2 linked regions of the Stegostoma tigrinum genome follow. The protein of the gene in region 1 binds, or shares a complex with, the protein of each later gene. Links are inferred from orthologs where the notes say so. Each region holds a gene or a part of one and is shown on either strand. Other genes may lie near its edges. The genes, in order: igf2bp1 and elavl4.

Region 1 (9,267 bases):
TGAGGACCCTGGGAATCTAAGAAGAAAACAAAGTGCAGGAGAAACTCAGCAGGTCTGGGAGCATCTGTGGAGAGAGCATCGGAGACCTAACAAACTCTGCTGTGATTAGTACCCCAGTCTGCCCAATTTCTATCCTCATTCACACTTTTTACATCGCAAAACTGAATTTTGTTTAAAAGTTAATGGCTTTAAGTGATGTTTTTGGTTTGCAATGCATTAAACATAAACAAGGTTCTTTTGAATGTGTGATGTCCTCCGCGACGTTCTTTCATCAGACATCCTGCGCCTTGCTTCATATCCAGAGCTCTGAATAACCCCATTCAATGTTTATTGGATTTAGTTTGAAAAGGACGGTCCGTTCCCCATTGGCATCAACACGAACTGTGACTTTACTTCAGAGTCTGGGTTCAAAGAATATCTAACGATTCATATAAAGATAGATTTATATTTTAAATAAACCAACTGTATAGGCATGAGGTAGCAGAATTAACTTAGGATTGACTGAATCTTGGGATTAGTGAGACAAAGTTTTGTATGTCATTTTCACAGTCTCACGGCATCCTAAAACGCTTCACTATCGATGAAGGTATAGTCGCTGCTGTAGCAAAAGCGACAGTAAAATCGCGCACAGCAAGCTCCCATAAGGAGCAATATGAGCACGTACTTATTTAGCTGGTCAGATGTCTACTAGCGTTTAAAAACTATATCTCTATTCGTGAAATGAACTTAGCAAAAGTCAATATCCCTTTGTGGTTTTTTGACATGTTGGTGTTCCTTTCTAATATTTTAATTTTGACTTCGAACAATCATTTTAAACAAAAGTTTTCCATTGACAGATTTGTTGTCTCTGAAGTCCATCATTTTGTCTAGATTTCTGAGTCGAGTTTCTTCTAAGGCGATTCATTAAAATGTTACCAGTTAACTAGTTAGAAGTCAAAGAAGTTTCCAGAGTTCAAGTGCATGGTCTCCGAGTGAGATCTTTAGTCCAAAGACAATCTGGGGTAGAATTACTCTGGGGAATTTACGAAGCGATCATCAACAGAGTGATTTGAGCAGGCCCTTCTCATTTTGCACAACATTCCTCTCATACGTGCCTACCCTAACGAAATGATTCCGAATTCCGATTCGAAGCAAATGAAGTTTCTGTGGAGAGAAACCAGAGTTAACATTTCGAGTCCAGTAACCCTTCTTCAGAACGTGTTTTTATTTGTAAAGTCTCATGTTCTGCAACTCTTTTTTCCAGTGAGGTGCACACTGACGGTTTTATACGTCCAATTGTTAACAATAATTAAGACTTGCCTCCAAACTAATTTCTAAGTCGGTTTTATTTGGTTCAGTATAATTAAAACGCAACTTTGTCTCCAAGTAACAATCAAATTGTTCCGCTCCTACAGGACACTGACTCCGCGACGTCAGTTACTGTACCTCAGCTTCCACAGTCCCATTCATGTACAAGCTGAGTGGTTAAACTCATCAGGGACATGTGTAGATTTAAGGCGACGATATCAAACTTTTCTCTTCACACCCTTGCTTCCAACTCTGTCCTCCCATCCCTATTATTTATCCTGATTTCTGAAGTTCCCGCAACATTTAACGTGTGAAGTTCTTTCCCTTCACTTTTCCAACCTATTGTCCAGATGATCACTAACAGCGCAAAGAGCGAAACTGTTGATCTCTGCGAGTTTTCAACTCGACCCCCGCGCCCATGACAACCACAAACACACACAAAAAACATATTTTAACCTAAATTGTAATCACAGCATATTGTGCGCTCTTCAAGTCCAGATCTCTTTTCACAATGAAACAATCTATGGCTCCCCCACAAGTCAAGCCACGGGAGCCATCATTATTGCATCCCTGCGGGTGTAATTACACGATCCAAATGGGTCGAGTTCACATCCTGCAACAGGTACGTGCCACTGAGTTAATGCCAAGCGGTGTTTAACTCTCGCCAGATAAGTTTACCCCGTACCCCATCGCCAGACACTGTGGGTCGCGTCTGGGCAAATTTGAATTGGCCGGGGGAAATGTGGCGAATATGTCCCTTTGAGACACATCTTTATTTTCCAAATCCATTCATTTAAGGAAGCATTTACATCTTTAAAGCGCCTTTCTCAACATCAAGGCTCTTCAAGGTGGACCAGAGTCAATGACATGACCGGTTCAGTTCTCACATAGTCTAATCGCGCACAACAAGATCCCACAAACAGCAATGTGGTTTTGGTAGGTCCACCCATTCCAGTGACTGATCTGAACGGTGATAACGTATAAAACGTTCAGCAGGACACTGGTCCGCAAGGTTCTGGATTCAATATTCCCGTTCGGGGAACGGGGCTAGGGGCGGCGGCGGGACAGTTACTAATTAGGCTACAATAAAACGCTGCCGACTCTCGACAGGCCAATATATTAGAACAGAAACACAGTTTATTCCAAAAGGCTTAGTATTTGAAGGTAGAGGTCGATACATTTTTAGACACAATTAGAAGGAAAGGATCCGCGAGTAATACTCGAAGACAGAGCTGAGGTGACATGATCTTATTGAATAGTAAATAGTAACAGAAAGCCGAGGGGCCGAATGACCCACTCCCGCTCCCTTGTGACTTTCTTCTTCTGTGGAATAAGCTTCTCCCGGTATTCGATGTTGACAGTTTTGTTTCCAAACACATTAATGAGCAGGACCTGCAAAACACGTTCTTCAGAAATTGCTGGCAAAGCTCAACAGGTCTGGCAGCATCTGTGGAGAGAAATCGGTTAAGGTTTCGAGTCGAATGACAACGTTAACTGTGATTACACTCCACAGATGCCCTCCAGACCTGCTGAGCTTTTCCAGCAGTTTTTGTACTTTTTTTGTCTGATTTACAGCACCGCAGTTCTTCCGGTTTTTACAAAGATCTATTGGAATCCAACAGTGATCCTTACCGAATTCTGGTCTTTGTGCAATTGAGCCATTAAATTGAAATGTGGAGCGTTCTGCCGCGTAACCTGCTGATAGTTGCAGTTTTGCTTCACCTGGTATCTTGTGTCGTTTTTCGTTATTCACAGGGCAGTCAGTAATCCGTGAGAATGGAATGGGGAGGGTGGGGGGCACGGTACGGTGGGGGGCCCCGTTGGACAGGAGGAGGCCGCTCGGTCCCTTGAATGTGCTTCTCTCTAAAATCAGAGCATGGTTAATCTGGAGCTCAATTCCATCCTGCCACCTCCTCAATCCTTTCCTCTCTTTAAAAAAAAGGGAGAAAATGTAAAGATCACTCAGTGTGAGATTATATTTCCCACTGCTCCAATCATGGGTAATCATTGTTGAACATATGGAGCTCCTTTGTTCAATACGAATAACGGGCAAGTTACAAGATAGCAGCTTGTATATGGAGATTGTATAGAACTGTGTAACTAACTTGAGAGAACAACGTCCTGACGTCCTATGATTTCTCTCTGGAATAAATTTCGCTCGGTATTCGATGTTGACAGTTTTGTTTCCAACCACATTATAGGGCAGTTCCTGTAAAACACGTTCCTCAGCAATTGCTGGAAAAAAATACTCAGCAGGTCTGGTAGCCGCTATGGAGAGAAGACAGAGTTAAGGCTTTGGGTCCAATGATCCTTCCCCAGAACGGCTTTGCTTTTTTTTTAACGAAACGTTAACTCTGCTTTCTCTCCATACATGCTGCCAGGCCTGCTGAGCTTTTCCAGCAATTTCTGATTTTGTTTCTGGTTTCCAGCATTCGCAGAACTTTTTTTTTGGTTTGATGTTCTTCTGGATTCTGGCCTTGGGAATATTGGACACATGTTTGAGAGAGAAAAAAAAGCGAAAGTTCACGAATGATCTCCCAACGAACTTGCCTAAATATTCCGTCGGAGACTTGCGTTCTAAACTGTGTCGTGGACTTCACCCTCAGAGAACATGGGAACGGTTCCAATGTGCAATATTTACCTCGTGCCAACTGATAGGTGGCGTGGGTGGCTGGAGATGTAGGTGGTAATGCGGGGATGATGTGGGGAGGTATGGGTGTGGCAGTAAGTTTGGGGTGTGCGGAGAGTGGTTAGAGGGATGGTAAGTTAGCAGCAGAGGTTGGGAGAATATTTTTTAATGGGTACAGCTCTTTTGATAAAGTCATTCAACATCAAAATCTCTCCCATTGAAAGATCTTTTACAGCGATTCCCTCACAGGACGCCCAGAGGCGGTCTTTTCAGACATTGCTGAGTCGGTTCAGCCCCAGGGACTAATATTGAGCCACTGCTCTCCTGTGTCTTTATGGTTTGACCCTATGCGACTGTTGTAAGGACTGTAAACTCCTGATCAGAATACCTCTGCAGAAACGCGAACTAGAAGAAATCAATTCTAAACCGTGTGGATTCAGAGTTTCCTGCTCGTTTAGAAAGTTACGGGGAACCGAGCAGACTCCTTGTAGGAGTCGAAATGAACTCAATCCCGTTCACATCCCGGGGCGATGTGTGGGTTTTTTTGCTGTTGTATGTGATGAACCAATTAATTCTTAGCTTACCGAGCAACGGTGGATCGAGAATGATTGTAGAGATGAAGGGCACAACACTTCTCATCATACTTAAAATACATTAAAACAATCGATAACATTCACCTCACTCAATGCCCTGCACTCCTCAAAGAAATAGTTTCAGAATGGGAGGACACTTGGAAAGTCACTTGGGTGTTGGTGAGTCAGGAATTCGTTCCAATAGAGAGTTTCTGTGAAAATGCACTTCCTGTCGAAGGTCAATGGGTAATTTTCGATATTAATTAATTCTTTTATTTGGAGTTAGAACTGATCGCTCCACTCCTGAAGGAGCTTGTGTTGGCTGTAACGGATGGCAGGCAGATGGGTACGGAACAGAGGAGACAGTGAGCGTAGTGGTGTCCAACCAGTAACTCTTTCATCAAAGCTCAAAGTGTTATAAGATTCAGAAGCCGAGCCCCCACCCCCTTCCTCCCCACTCTCCCCCAAAGCCTCCTCGACTGAGGAAAACTTTGGCGCCAGATCGCCATAGCTCATTGAGAAAAAAATGCCACCACCCAGGAGATTTTCATTCAAAAAAAATCCCTCCTGAGTAAACATCCTCCAGCAGCCGGCGAGAGCTGGGCGCTGTTGCAGTGCTATTGAACAAACCCACGTTATTATGGGACTGGCGTGAAGGGCTCTGCAAGTGGGGGGTGGTGAGGAGGGAGAAGCAGCCAGGGTGATGTTGTGTAGTAAACAAAAGGGATTTTTGTTTGTGTGTGGTGGGGGGGGGGGGGGGGGGGGGCTCGGAGGGAGGTGAAACTGACGTGATCTTCCACGTGAGGGGCCGGCCGTGTGTAACCACGTGGACCTCTCCCAGGCAAATATTTCACTCATTTTTTAAGGTCGATTTTATTTGGAGGCGGTGCCACCAGCAACGTCCTGTGACATTTTCAGTTTGACTCAACGGGGTTTGGGGGTAGCAGATAGACTTTCACAGCCCGCCATACCGTTTCATAACTCCCTGTTTCCGGCTAACACTTTTTCTTTGGCCGTTTTGTGTTTTTCTCTCTCTCTCCTCCCTTTGCAACAACCGTTTACCATTTTAGTTGCTGCTGCTGGTGGGGTTTTTTTGTGTTGTTGTTGTTGGATATATCATTATTTCGAAGGTGCTGTTATAATTTTACACCCTCCCTTCTTTGCTCACCCCCCCAAAAAAACAGAGAAGCCCTAAGAATCACAATGAACAAGCTGTACATCGGGAATCTGAGTGAGAGCGTGACTGTGCCAGAGTTAGAAACTATCTTCAACGACTGGAAGATTCCTTTTTCTGGGCAGTTTCTACTCAAAGCGGGCTATGCCTTTGTAGATTGCCCAGATGAGAGCTGGGCAATGAAAGCGATCGATACCTTATCCGGTAAGCGATTTCAACCGATATCCAAAACGCAGGGGAGAGCTGAAGCTGTCTTGAGAACGCCGTTCACTCGGCGAGATTCTGTGTTCCTACCCAGTTCCTAGCAATGGCCTACCTACCTCCTACTCCTCCAGGCTAGGAAAAGGTTCTGTTCTGGAGAGAGTTGCACTGGTCCCTTTTTAATTTCTGACCAACACGTTAATGATTCGAGTCCTCCACTCCCTCCCCAAAAAGCGTGACATGTTGATTGTACAGAAAGATAGATAATAGAGATTTTAATGTAAAGATAGGGGGTGGGGGTGGGTGGGAAAGACGCGCCAATTCCTCCTGTACGTGAGAGGGGGCTTTATGTTTCTGGAAACCAGCAGGTTCTCTCTTTTTTTTAGTCAATTACACTCAACACACGCGGCGTTTGACCAAAAAAAAGATAGAGGAAGAGTCAGATTGCTATTCCGTCCTTTGGGAAGAAATCGCAGATAAGGAAACCCAGTTGGGTCAGATCTTTGGATCTGCTGCGGGATCTGGTTCCCACCACCCCCCCCCCCCCCCCCTTCCTTTGGATCAGGGTGTCTCTTGGAGAGAATGGTTCGATGCTAGCTAGTCCTTCCCCTTAGTGATAGTAGGCCGTCATTTGCAAGCTCCGTTATAATACCACGTTAGCAGTTTTAATTCTGTCTCTCGTCTCTTCGACACCCCCTCCCCTTCCTCAGGCGACCAGTCCGGGTAACATTTATCCCTCCTTCCCTCTGACTGGCCCCCCAAAACGGCGGCTGTAAGTGAATGCCGGTCGCCCCCAGCTCTCTGAATGATTCCTGAAATTGAATACAGCCTGTGATGGGGCACACACAGAGCCGAGGTCGGCCATACTGATTGTGAAAATACTATAGGACTGCAAGCATGCAAATGTCTAGGGCGAAAACCCCTATGCTATCCAGATAAAATATAACTTTCAGGTCCGATATATAATGTATTTCCATGTGTGTTGGATATACATAGCAGCGACCTCATCCTAAAGTTCCTCAGTAACTTACTAAGGAAATTAATCCTCAATTATGCACAACAGATTTCAACCCTCACACTCTTTTTAAAAAAAATGACAATCCATCCTGATAAAAACAGGGGTTCATTTCACCCAGTGTGTTTGTACAAGTGTAGACGAAGAAGGCGAAACGCTATTTTACTAAATAAAATTCAAATCGAACTTGTTTACAGGTAAAGTGGAACTCCATGGGAGACACATAGAAGTGGAACACTCAGTACCCAAGCGGCAGAGGTATTAGCAATTTCAATACTTGTTTTGCTTTGAATATTTATTTGGCGATATCCTGGAGAGTTGTTATGAAGTGAATTAGACATTTGTTTCTGGTTCCTGCTTGAAAGTGTGTGTGATTAAAATAAAATAGACGTACAAAGTTGTGAAGCTCTTCAGAGAAGCTATTTTTAAAAAACTGTGGTTATACTGTGCTGCAGTATGGAACAAATTTCAAATTAGTTGTTTCCTGAATCTATATGATGTTATTACAATCTTGAATTGAGGCGAAGTAGTGCAGCAATTGTGGGCAGCAACCCGCGGCTGGAACTGCAATGTGTTTTTCTGGAGATTTAAAGCGACGGGCGACAAAATAGGTTCAGTGTCGAGGAGCTGGATCCAGTGATTTTTGTTGTAGCTTTAACGAGCTCTTCCCGCTTTTCTGCTCAGAAATTTAAAAGGTCACGATTTGAGAATGGGGAGAGGGTGGACGGTTAGAGATGCACCATTTCCAACACTACCCCCACCCCCAACCCCCCACCTTTGGCGAAACCGCTCAAGTAGATCACGTTGCAAACGCTGAAGCCTTGCTTTGGGTTCAAATCTCATTTGACTCCAAAGCCGATTCCGGGAACGCCTCGACCTACGGGAGAGAGCTTGCAAGAAATGAGCTGAAGGGGCAGTGGGAAAATCAATCTTCCGAGTTTCTTTACCACCCTTTCCATTTTCGCTTTGAATCGCTAAGGGACGCGTTGTCTCGAAACTAAGGATTCTTTGCAACAGAACTGTGCGAACACGTTGGCATTTTCATGTCCCTATATTGCTCTGAGTGCAATAGTTAACGAATTCTGTTTGATGTGTTTTGCCATGCATGACCTTTTACAAAACGGGATGCACAATTCCAATAAGAAAGTTTGACTGAGTTCTCATTCAGAAACCCAAGTTAAAACATTGACCCAGAATCTAACATGATGGCTATTCAGTGTGGAACCTGGTTTGGGTTACAGACATACCTGTAAAAGTATTTGCTTGTTCTTGCTTTAAAGTATTTGGTGCATGTGTATCTTTGCTTATTCTGATAAACTGGATAGTGCCTGTTGTAAAATGTCTATAAGTGCTGGTTCAAAAGATACCATAAAAGAAGTTAAGCACTGGATTAGAAATAATCACTTGATATCAATTCATATTATTATGTATTTAAAATGATAGAGTAGAGAGAGCAATTTATTAGTTCGGTTTAGCTGCAACTATTGTCCTCCATGTTAGCATTTTAACCAGACAGTTGTATGCTTTGTAACGCAACATCATCTGGTGTGTTAGATATAATCCATGGAGGTTTGTAAATCAAACTGTGCCCCCCCCTCTGTATTTTCAAAAGGCTGAAGATGAAGTTTGAATCAGCCAATTTGAAAGTTTTGAAAAGTAGTTACAATATTCAGCAAAACATAATTTAAAGTCAATTGTCATGGCTATAATCAATGATTTTAAAAAATCTGATCAGAACATTCAAAATTTAGTTAAGAACCTTTTGCCTTGTTCTTTATTGATGAACCTGGTTTGGAAGGAATGATGAGTAAACACTAAATATATAGACTGCAAACACAATTTATTGTTTTTACTGCCCAAGTTAGTTAAAAAAATTCAACAGTTAAAATTCAATTCTTTGGTGGTGGTGAACTACCTACATTCTTTACTGCTTTATTTAAAATATTCTATTATGTTTACATTTACAAAATTTAAAGACTTTGCATATGAAACCTTAACATCCTGTCTTCCTGAAAGAGATGTAACTATTTTGTTTTGTTAAAAATTAAGCACTTAAAATTGTTTTTGTGGAAATTTTGCTTGAAATTCTGAAGATCCAAAATGCAATGTTTGTGGTAATATCCATTGGAGTTTTAGCTTTTTCTTTAAAAAAACTGTGAAAATAGATATTAAATAGATCAATATAGAAATCTAAGTAAAAGTTCAAATGAAATAACATTGTTACTCAATGGAGTATTGTCTGTGTGTACTTAAATGTTTGGTTCAATGATCCTATTTACTGAAAGGATAAATTGCTGAAATTCTGAAGGCAGATAAAATACAATTTTATAATAGATTTAGTGAAATTAACTTTGTTGTGTTTGCTGTCAATCTGTCATTAGAAAAATGG
Region 2 (8,995 bases), on another chromosome or scaffold:
GTTGCCTTCACTATGAAATGAACAGCGTTCAGAGTTAAGGGCATTTTATACAAATAAATATTTATTATTTTATTGCACAGGCATATAGCTAATCTTGCCATATGTGTCAAAGCAGGAACAAAGAAATAAAAAAATGTATTTGTCTACTTTGGGGTGGTGTCCTGCACAGATAGAAACCATGTTAAACAACAGATTTTAATCTTTAGGCCTTATGAAATTCAGAGACTGGTATAACCCTATAATGCACAGCCCATCTTCCTTTAGCATATGAAATCGTTTTTTATACTATATTTATACACACACACATGCACACACGCACACACACACACACTAATTGAACTAATAAGAGCAACTCATTTGACAAACAATATTCTATAAACAGTTAGTACCCTCATCCTGCTTTAGTTGTAGTTAGATATCTTTGCTTTCTCCAGTTCCTCACATCAAACGCATCACAGTTTTAACTTTAATTGAACAATTAATGTGTTCCTCTTTGCTAAAGTATTATAACGTTAAAAAAAATTGGCTCAGCAATAATAATTCAAATGAACAGGGTAGCCTAGTGAAAAATTTTAGTCATATCTGTAACAACCACTGGCAATGTAGTACTCACAATTTAGTCTTATGGGTTTTATTTGACCAGTTTTCTTTTTACTTATTGACTCTCACAATATCGTCCCCTTTGACAAGTTCAGCAACACAGAAAGAAAATCCAATGAAATGCCATTCACATTTCAGGCACAGATGTCTAATAATAGCTTCAAATGAGCTAGCCTCCAGTCTGGAATATAATTAACACCTTTTGAAACAATTAAAGTTGTGACTCTCACAGAATGGAAGAGACAATCACAGTGCCTGTTCTACCGTTTGCTTCATGGTATTCCCATATGACTGCCACCTGCTCTCTGTTCAGCTTCCTTTAGCTTGTTTCCCTGGCAACCTTTCACAGGCTTTTCTTTCTAGCTATCACTTTCATTTCAGCTGTTCAGTCTAATCTTATTTATATTGCACCCATCAAAACAAGTAGCTGATGATAAAGCCCACAGATTGCGTTGAATGGAGAAAAAAATAACTCTTTTCTACTCAACTCCCATAAATGCTTATGAACACTACAGCCTTGGTGCTCATGTATCTCAAATAAAATATGCATAAAAACCAAAAGGCATTCCTTTACTCAAAGAACAAATGTTTTCAAATACTGTATTAAAACCAAAAGAACATGTTACTGATGCTGAGGAAATAGCATATCTTTTAATCACCTACCAGTTTTAAACCACCCCATTCCATTTTTGATTAGCAAGAAATTTGTAGTCTTCAGTGAATCAAAACTGAAAGGACGTTATGTAAAAAGCAGACATGCCTCCTCTACAACACTGATTTTTCGAGTTACAAGAAATCAACATTTACCACATACTACAGCATACAAGCCTCCTCCTCTCTGATGAGGTCACAACTGCAAACTCTTTGAAATACAATATGTGTTTGTACGGGTGCTTACATAAATCACATCCTTTAAGTCATTGTAAATGCTGAATACTATTTTTGGACCCTTCACTGAAGCCTGGGTATAGGATTTAATTTCATTTGTTTCTTCACAGATAGACTTTCGTCATTATACTAATAAAAGCTACATTAAAATGAACCATTTTGGTACGTTTCCTAAGTAGATTAAAATATACCAAGTCCTAGTACATACCATAACCATTCTTATTGCACAGGATTAGATCTTATCGTACTTGAAATCTCCAGGAGAAGACCTACAATATTTCAATTCCTCTGTTAAAGATCCAAAAGCACAGTGCAAGTGTTTGTGCAAAACAAAAGAAAGCTGTACGGAATCTATGCTACAGGAAGCAACAAATCAGCTCACAGAATTGGCTGGCTTCTTCACCCTTTTACTCCCATTTATGGGACCATCTGTCACTACTGCTTGTGTCTGATTGGCTAGAAAAATAAAAGGCTGTCATGACATCAACTGCTATTGAAATTAGCTTTTACCAGATTGACGATGTTAATGATGCAGTGACCTCTATGCACAACATAGAAGAGCTTTTGAACTGCACAATGTCTCTGGTAATTAGGTCGAAATTAAGAAACCAACACACACACACAAATTTTCCCTTAATATTGTGTACTCTGGATTTGCAATCTTCAACATGAAATGTAGAGAAGACAAGATGTCATATCTCAGTCATGCTTCAATGCTTGCATCACATAACCATTGTGAAGCAAACTGGGCTTTAAAATTTATGTGTTTCAACTACCTTATCTATTCTGACAGTTGCTTTCTCAAAACGTGCATAATTAATACAAAGCCTTGGGGCTCACAGTCTACTTTGTGCATGAAGAGAATTATATAAAGAAAGTGAATTTATTTCAGAGTTCAACTTCAAGGTTTTCTCCCTTAAACTACTCTCGTGAATTCTTTATTCTACTAAACTGAAAAATATTTATGTGATTCAAAACTGTCCCATCAATGATGTACGGGCTTCAATCTGACTTGAAACAAATTTCTATACTGTAATATCAAAATTTATTTTGTCAGCTTATGTTGTCTCTTTACCACACATGCAAACCGGCATGTTAAACTGAAGAGTTAACAAATCTCAGCAAAAGCCTACAAAAATGATGGAGTTAATATAAATAAGTACAGCCATTGCTTATAAGAAAACAAATACATTTAACAGTCATGTTGCACCAAAAAATTCACAACTCTTAATTGTTGAACTGCAGCCACTGAAAGGTACAGTGAAAAAATTTCTGGGTAGAAGTCAATATTTGGCATATTTTTGTGACAGCAAAATTATATATTTTCAACCTATTAAATTAAGGAATAGAACCGGTAACAAATTTGTAATATTGAGAGAAATTGGCTCAACAAACAATACCAGCATGCCATAATTCAAGAAATCAACAGTTCCAGGATTACAAGCCAAATGTTTTTCAACTATACTGAGAAGCAAAGAACAATTTTAGTTTGTGTTGAGCACATTTCTGTCAGTATTCTCTTAGTAATTTACAACAGTTAATGGAACATAGATTTTCCATTATAAGCTTTTCTCTAGCTTCATGAGCAATCACTTACATGATCAGTCAGATTACAACTCCACATATAAAGTTGCCCATTTTCTAAAAAATGTGATTAGTTATTCATAAACTATACACAGAAACCCCTCACTTCAGTTATATGTTGTCAATGTTATCTCTTAGCAGTTCTCCCAACATGAAATTTGTCCTAACATTAGCATCAGTTGTCATTGAGCTCACACAAACCACACCAGCTAATTCAGCATTAATAATCACCTATTCTGTAGTATTTTGAAGCTTTAAATATAATCTTCAGGCCATAGCCCACAAAATATGACAAACATTCTGAATCTATTGAACAAAAAATGTAACATAATAATTAAGTACCACATCATCAGCAGAAATCTTAAATATATTATCTGAACACTATAACAGTTTAATTGGAAGGAATAATATGCAATATTGTTTGCCAGTAAAATAAAACACCTTACCTCATTATGCAATAAAGCAGCATTTAGTGTTCTGCCAATTTCAAACATTATACTGACAGTTCAGATTTACACAATCAAAAGACTTCTTTTGATAAACATTTGGCCAAATGCATTAGCATAGGGGCCTGTTTTCCGCAGATTCGACCAGGCGACAAGATTGGTCAATTTTTCCTTGTCTTAGCCAGTACTAGCCCAACAAACAGCAATGCAAATTTTCCTTTATCAAGTTCACATTAAGACTGTGTTAGACGAATTGCTGAGGCAGATTATATTACTCCAACATGGCTGTTGAGCAAATGTTCCTCTCCACTTACAGTTCCCTGCATTACCACAAGGTGAGCAGTGTGCCCAAACTTAAGTTTGTTTCTATCCTCTAAATTTTCTAACTAAACTCTTTCCAAATATATAAACCTTGACTCACATGACAGAAAAAAAAGCATATTTGCACCTACATTAATCAAGATTTTGTAAATTTTTATAGTCATTGGTATACCTTAAACTAATCTCAGAAACTTGAGCAATAAAGGTATAAGGAATGCCGATACTGATTGAAAGCTCTATGATAATTCCATGCAAATCTTACGACCAATATCATCATAACAATTAACAATAAAACAAAAAGCTTGCAATTTTAGTTCAAAAATATTTTGTTCATGATGAGGAAATAATGTCTACTAAAATAGGCCTGAAAAGACATCACCGTTGGTTATTTTCGTACTATTTGCACGGTCAATAGGAATTCCAAATAAACTCAGTACTGCTTAGTACATACTCCCCCTCTATATGAATCAAAACAATGTACAAGGTGTAGTCGTGGAAGAAAAACACCATTGAACTGGAATCTGCCTGACTTGAGATCAAAATATCAAATATTTGTTCTGGCTCTATTACAGAGGATAGAATTCATAGTGACTGGAAACAACTAAAATACCTTTTCAAAAGAATTAATCCAAAGTAAGGTTAAAACAAAAGGCTGTTATCAAGAGCACAGACATTTGAGACTCACAAATTCATTCTGTAACAGTTTCATGTTTTTGCTAAATTAATAGAATAAATTGATTATTTTATAGCATAAACTCTAATTTTGCTTGCACTCCAAATTGCCTTACAGAATTTATGTTCTATCTGTCCTACAGAGACTGAGCATCTGAGGGTAATAAATCTTCTGAATAGGGCCTTAATTTGAAGCTACAGCCCACATAACGATTTCAACATTTCTGCCCGAGAAATGTACAATGCTAAACAATTCAAGCTTTAATTAAAGAATATCTAATAGACAAGACAATTCTTTAATTTGTACACTATTTTCCACTGCACTAGGAAAGTAAAAGTACAGTATGATGGAATTAATTCTGAGAATAGATAATGATTGTGAGAGTAAAAAGAAAATCTATTTTTTTGAATAAATACATGTTAGAATTCAGACCTTTTACTTTTTAAATAAGGTATTTTGTTTTTGAGGAAATTGTAATCAAAAATAAAATCTAGTTATAAGCACTTACCTAATATGGTGCTGCCCCAAGGCACATTTATTAAATCAATACTGACCTATTGATGCACCACCATCTGCTGTACCACTGAACAGTGCTTAGCACAGTATAGTAAACAGCATGGTAGTGTCACTTTCAGTCTATTAGAGAACCAACAGAGCCTTCAACTGATGGAGTGTGTTATGAGATCCTTCTAAAATGGTCTTCATACTAGTTTCTAGCAAGTGTGTGCAATTCCTATTTCATGCTCAGCAAAGCAAAGATTCTATAATAAGTGTTTTTTTTTGTTTTTTAACCATAACCTGCAATTTATGCAACCCCGTTCCTGACAAGTCTCTTTATGCAATTAGTACAGTACTATAGCCCTGAAGTTCTGATCTAATGGCATTTAGGGGGTGAAAAAGACGATCCTAAGCTTTTATGTCTAATTGAAATTCTACTGCAACTTACAGCAGAAGTCAAACAGGATGTAGATGCACCCGCACTAGCAAGCATGCAGCTATCCACATGATAGGTTTAAAACAAGCTGCCTTCATCAGTCCTAATTTCGTCATTTCCATCCTAGGATTTGTTAATTTAATTTATGCCTCTACAAACTGGTGAAACTTGGCGCAGCAACCGAGCAATGATAATGCTGAAACTTAAAGGGAAAGCGCTTGCTTCACTGTGCAGGTACAAAGAATATCATTATTTTGCTATGAAGATTTCCTTTTGAAAAATTGATTGCAGTTCACTTTTAAGATGCTAGCCTCATTAATGGATTCTCCCTTGAGACTATTTCCTGCTTGCATACAATATGGAGAAAACTGAACAATGGTTTTACGTTGGACATTCTACTTGTGTTTTATCGGTAAAGTAACTGTAGTCAATAGTGAAATCAGAATCACAAGGCACGATCAGTGATCATTATTCTTTGACAAAATAGCAAGTCACCTGAGCTTACAGCCCCAAAATATCATTCTTCATGCAGTAAAGTGGTAGGTGTCCAATATTCCATGGGGAAAATTTTTAAAAGTAATCTCAGAGAGGTTGAGAAGGTCAGTACTTACTGGACATCTTTCATTCCCATTGTGAGTTGGCGATGGGCCTTCTTATTAAATTGCTGCAGCTGAAATGATGAACATGGCCTAAACAATATGTTCAGTATTAAGTTCGAGGATTTTGACCTAGCTACAATGAAGGAATGGTGAAATATGTCTGAGTCATGTGGCGTGTAACTTAGAAGTGTCGATGTCCTATGCATTTGCTGTCCTCGTTCTTCAAAAGTGGTGGATGTTGCAGAATTGGAAAGAATTACTCAAGAACCCTACGTAAAGTATACACTACAAAGCCAATATGCCCATGATATATATTTCATTTGAATGATGTGGTGCCAAACCAGGCAGATAGCTTAGTACTATTTGAGACAAAACAGAGTGTTGTGAGAACTGCATCCAACCAGACAAGTAGTGAGTATTCTCACATTTTCCTGACTTCTCTCTCTTGCAGGTGACAGCAAAGCTTTGGAGTGCCAGGAAGTGAGTGACTCACCATAGAGGCCTGAAGATTCTAGGAATCACAGCTAGTTGCAATAATCTCAGCATCGATCTCGCTGGGCTAATTCAGCTCCTAATTAATGTTGATGCTGAGGCGAAGCTATTGAACATTAAGGGTAATGGCTATCTTCTCTCATATTCAAGCAAAATACTGCAGCTTCTGGGAATTTGAGTAAGAACTGGAAGCACGCAAGAAAAAGCTTCAGAGGGCCTGGCAGCAGTTGTGGAGGAAAAATTTTTTTTGCCAAATGACCCTTCTTTGCAAGTGAAGGGAGTAGAAAGGCTGAGTTTGCTGACATCAAGGAGCATAAGAAATGCGCTGTAAAGAAATGCTTACTTCTACATTCTACGCATGTGCAGTTTCACTGCAGATCAGGACTCAGTGGAAGGGTTGGCATCACGACCCAGGAGATAAACTGAGAAGGGGGCAATAGAACAAAAAGGAAGGTTTCGGATAGAGTAGTGGGTGGCGGAGATTAAATGACAAAATGTGTCATGGAACGAAAGGCAAAGTAAGTGGTTATAGTAAAGAAACAAAGCTTTGGGCTAGAATAGGTCTTAATGGCAAAAATATATAATAGATTAATTTGGAAGCTAAAACATGATAATGACACAGAAGGCTGCAAAGTGCACAACTGAAAGGTGATGTACTGTTCCTCAAGTTTGTGCTGAGCTTCTCTGGAACTGTTAAGCAGGCTAAGGACAAAGATGTAAGCATGAGAGCAAAGTGGCGAATTAAAATGGCAATCAACCTGAAAAACAGGTTATGATGGTGGACTGAGCAGGTGTGTTTAGCAAAATGGTTGTCCATTCTGTGTTTGGTTTCTCCAATAAAGAGGTTATGTAAAATCCAAACTGATGTATCTTTTAAAAAATACATTGCTGCTGAAGAAGAAACACTTAGAACAAAGAATGCTCACCCCAATACAAGAAGATGCAAGTAAGTCTGTTTATTGACTTGGCATAGCAGAGATATGCAGTATGGGAACATCAAGATAAAACTGATTGCAGAATACAGAAAGCAGGAACAGGACTAGATGTAACAATCCGTTATTGACCACCATATGAATTGTACTTAGAACAATAATAAAAGAAACATAATTAAATCAATAAAACACAGTAGGCTGCATTTTACCAAAAATCAGTTAAGAGTCAATTTTAAGAGGTTTCATAGAGGGTTTCCTTTTGAACTCTATCAGGTTTTCTCATGCAATTCTCTGTGGCTCATCTTACTAAGTATGGACAACATCCCCATTCCACCTTCTCATGCTTTCTTGCACTAACGAGCAATAAACTGCCCACTGGTGCTGGAACCTTCCAGCTTTTGCATCACAGGTGCCACTTTTAAACCCAGCTATGTACTATATGAAACACTGTCAACCTGGTCTGAAATAGGCACCCAGGTTAGCATAACATCCGTGGTCTAGAGGAATGCAGAGCAATGATCAATGACCTTTGGCAAGGGCCAATTCCACTAACTTCCTTCCCTCCGCTAGCTTGCACTCAACCTAAGTTTGCCACTGCACCCACCTCTCACGGCTCATGGAGTGTCACTCTCAATATTGCATGTAACATCTTCACTAAATGACTTTCACTCACTTCATTCAACCTAACTACTAACTCTCCTGGCATCTGCAGTTTCTACTCATTAATTTAGGACAGCTCACCGCTTTTCTTGATTGGCAAAAAACTAGCCCCCCCCGACTGACCACTGTCCCCCTTTATCGTTCATTGTTGCAAAACATGACAAGCTGCCTGATTATCTGTCTGCACTAACAGGAAAGTCAAAGCAAGACAGTCAGCATCCAAGCACGTGCAAATTGTGTTAGTGCTAAGAAATTAAGTCAATGGCCTGAGGTGCACCAGTTCCGACCCATGAGATAGGTGTCTGTGCATCCACATAAAGCTGCGTTTAATCTAAGAGGTGTTGGTGAGTTCTGAAGTTCAATATTGAAGTGCTGAACTGTATCAAAATTGGGTCCCAAATATGTCTTGATGTGCCTCTGGCAGGGCTGGCGCTTTGCAGATGCCAGTGTGCAGTCAGTGCTGGTGATGGAGTGTACCCCCAGGTGCTGGGGAATGCTGGAAAAGATAAATATATCAAGAAAATGACAGCAAGTTGCAATTGCCAGCTACCTGCTCAGGCTTTCGTGTCAGTCATTGTTGCCATCTAATTTCTCTTTTCCCTTGGGAAAATAGCAAACTGCATATAAATGAGGTAAGATTAGATAATAATGAGATGTTAATGCAAGCAAGATTCTCATGTTGCAGTTTAAATCTTGTGTAGCAAAGGGTACTTTTATTTTTTCAATGTTGAGAATCTCATTGTTTTCCTAGTGACCACATTTTACCACTGTTTTGCCATTGCCCACATTGTTAAGGGGCTGGGAAGACGCCACAAAGCATCACTGTACGGATAAAATGTGAACTATCAATTTTTAATTTTCATAAT

What was found.
Region 2: igf2bp1 (region 1) and elavl4 share a complex: the UniProt entries of both Homo sapiens proteins name them as parts of the TAU mRNP complex. The link is inferred for Stegostoma tigrinum from reciprocal best matches to the Homo sapiens genes IGF2BP1 and ELAVL4.

Annotation. Positions count from the first base shown.
Region 1 is NC_081384.1:4,738,426-4,747,692, forward strand, and holds the start of igf2bp1 (insulin-like growth factor 2 mRNA-binding protein 1), read left to right. Parts: upstream 1-5,411; 5' UTR 5,412-5,691; coding exon 5,692-5,866; intron 5,867-7,075; coding exon 7,076-7,136; intron 7,137-9,267. UniProt on the Homo sapiens protein: RNA-binding factor that recruits target transcripts to cytoplasmic protein-RNA complexes (mRNPs). This transcript 'caging' into mRNPs allows mRNA transport and transient storage.
Region 2 is NC_081361.1:61,862,651-61,871,645, reverse strand, and holds the start of elavl4 (ELAV-like protein 4), read right to left. Parts: upstream 3,812-8,995; 5' UTR 3,567-3,811; coding exon 3,519-3,566; intron 1,862-3,518; exon of another isoform or gene 1,706-1,861; coding exon of another isoform or gene 1,697-1,705; intron 1,415-1,696; exon of another isoform or gene 1,288-1,414; coding exon of another isoform or gene 1,264-1,287; intron 829-1,263; exon of another isoform or gene 614-828; intron 1-613. UniProt on the Homo sapiens protein: RNA-binding protein that is involved in the post-transcriptional regulation of mRNAs. Plays a role in the regulation of mRNA stability, alternative splicing and translation.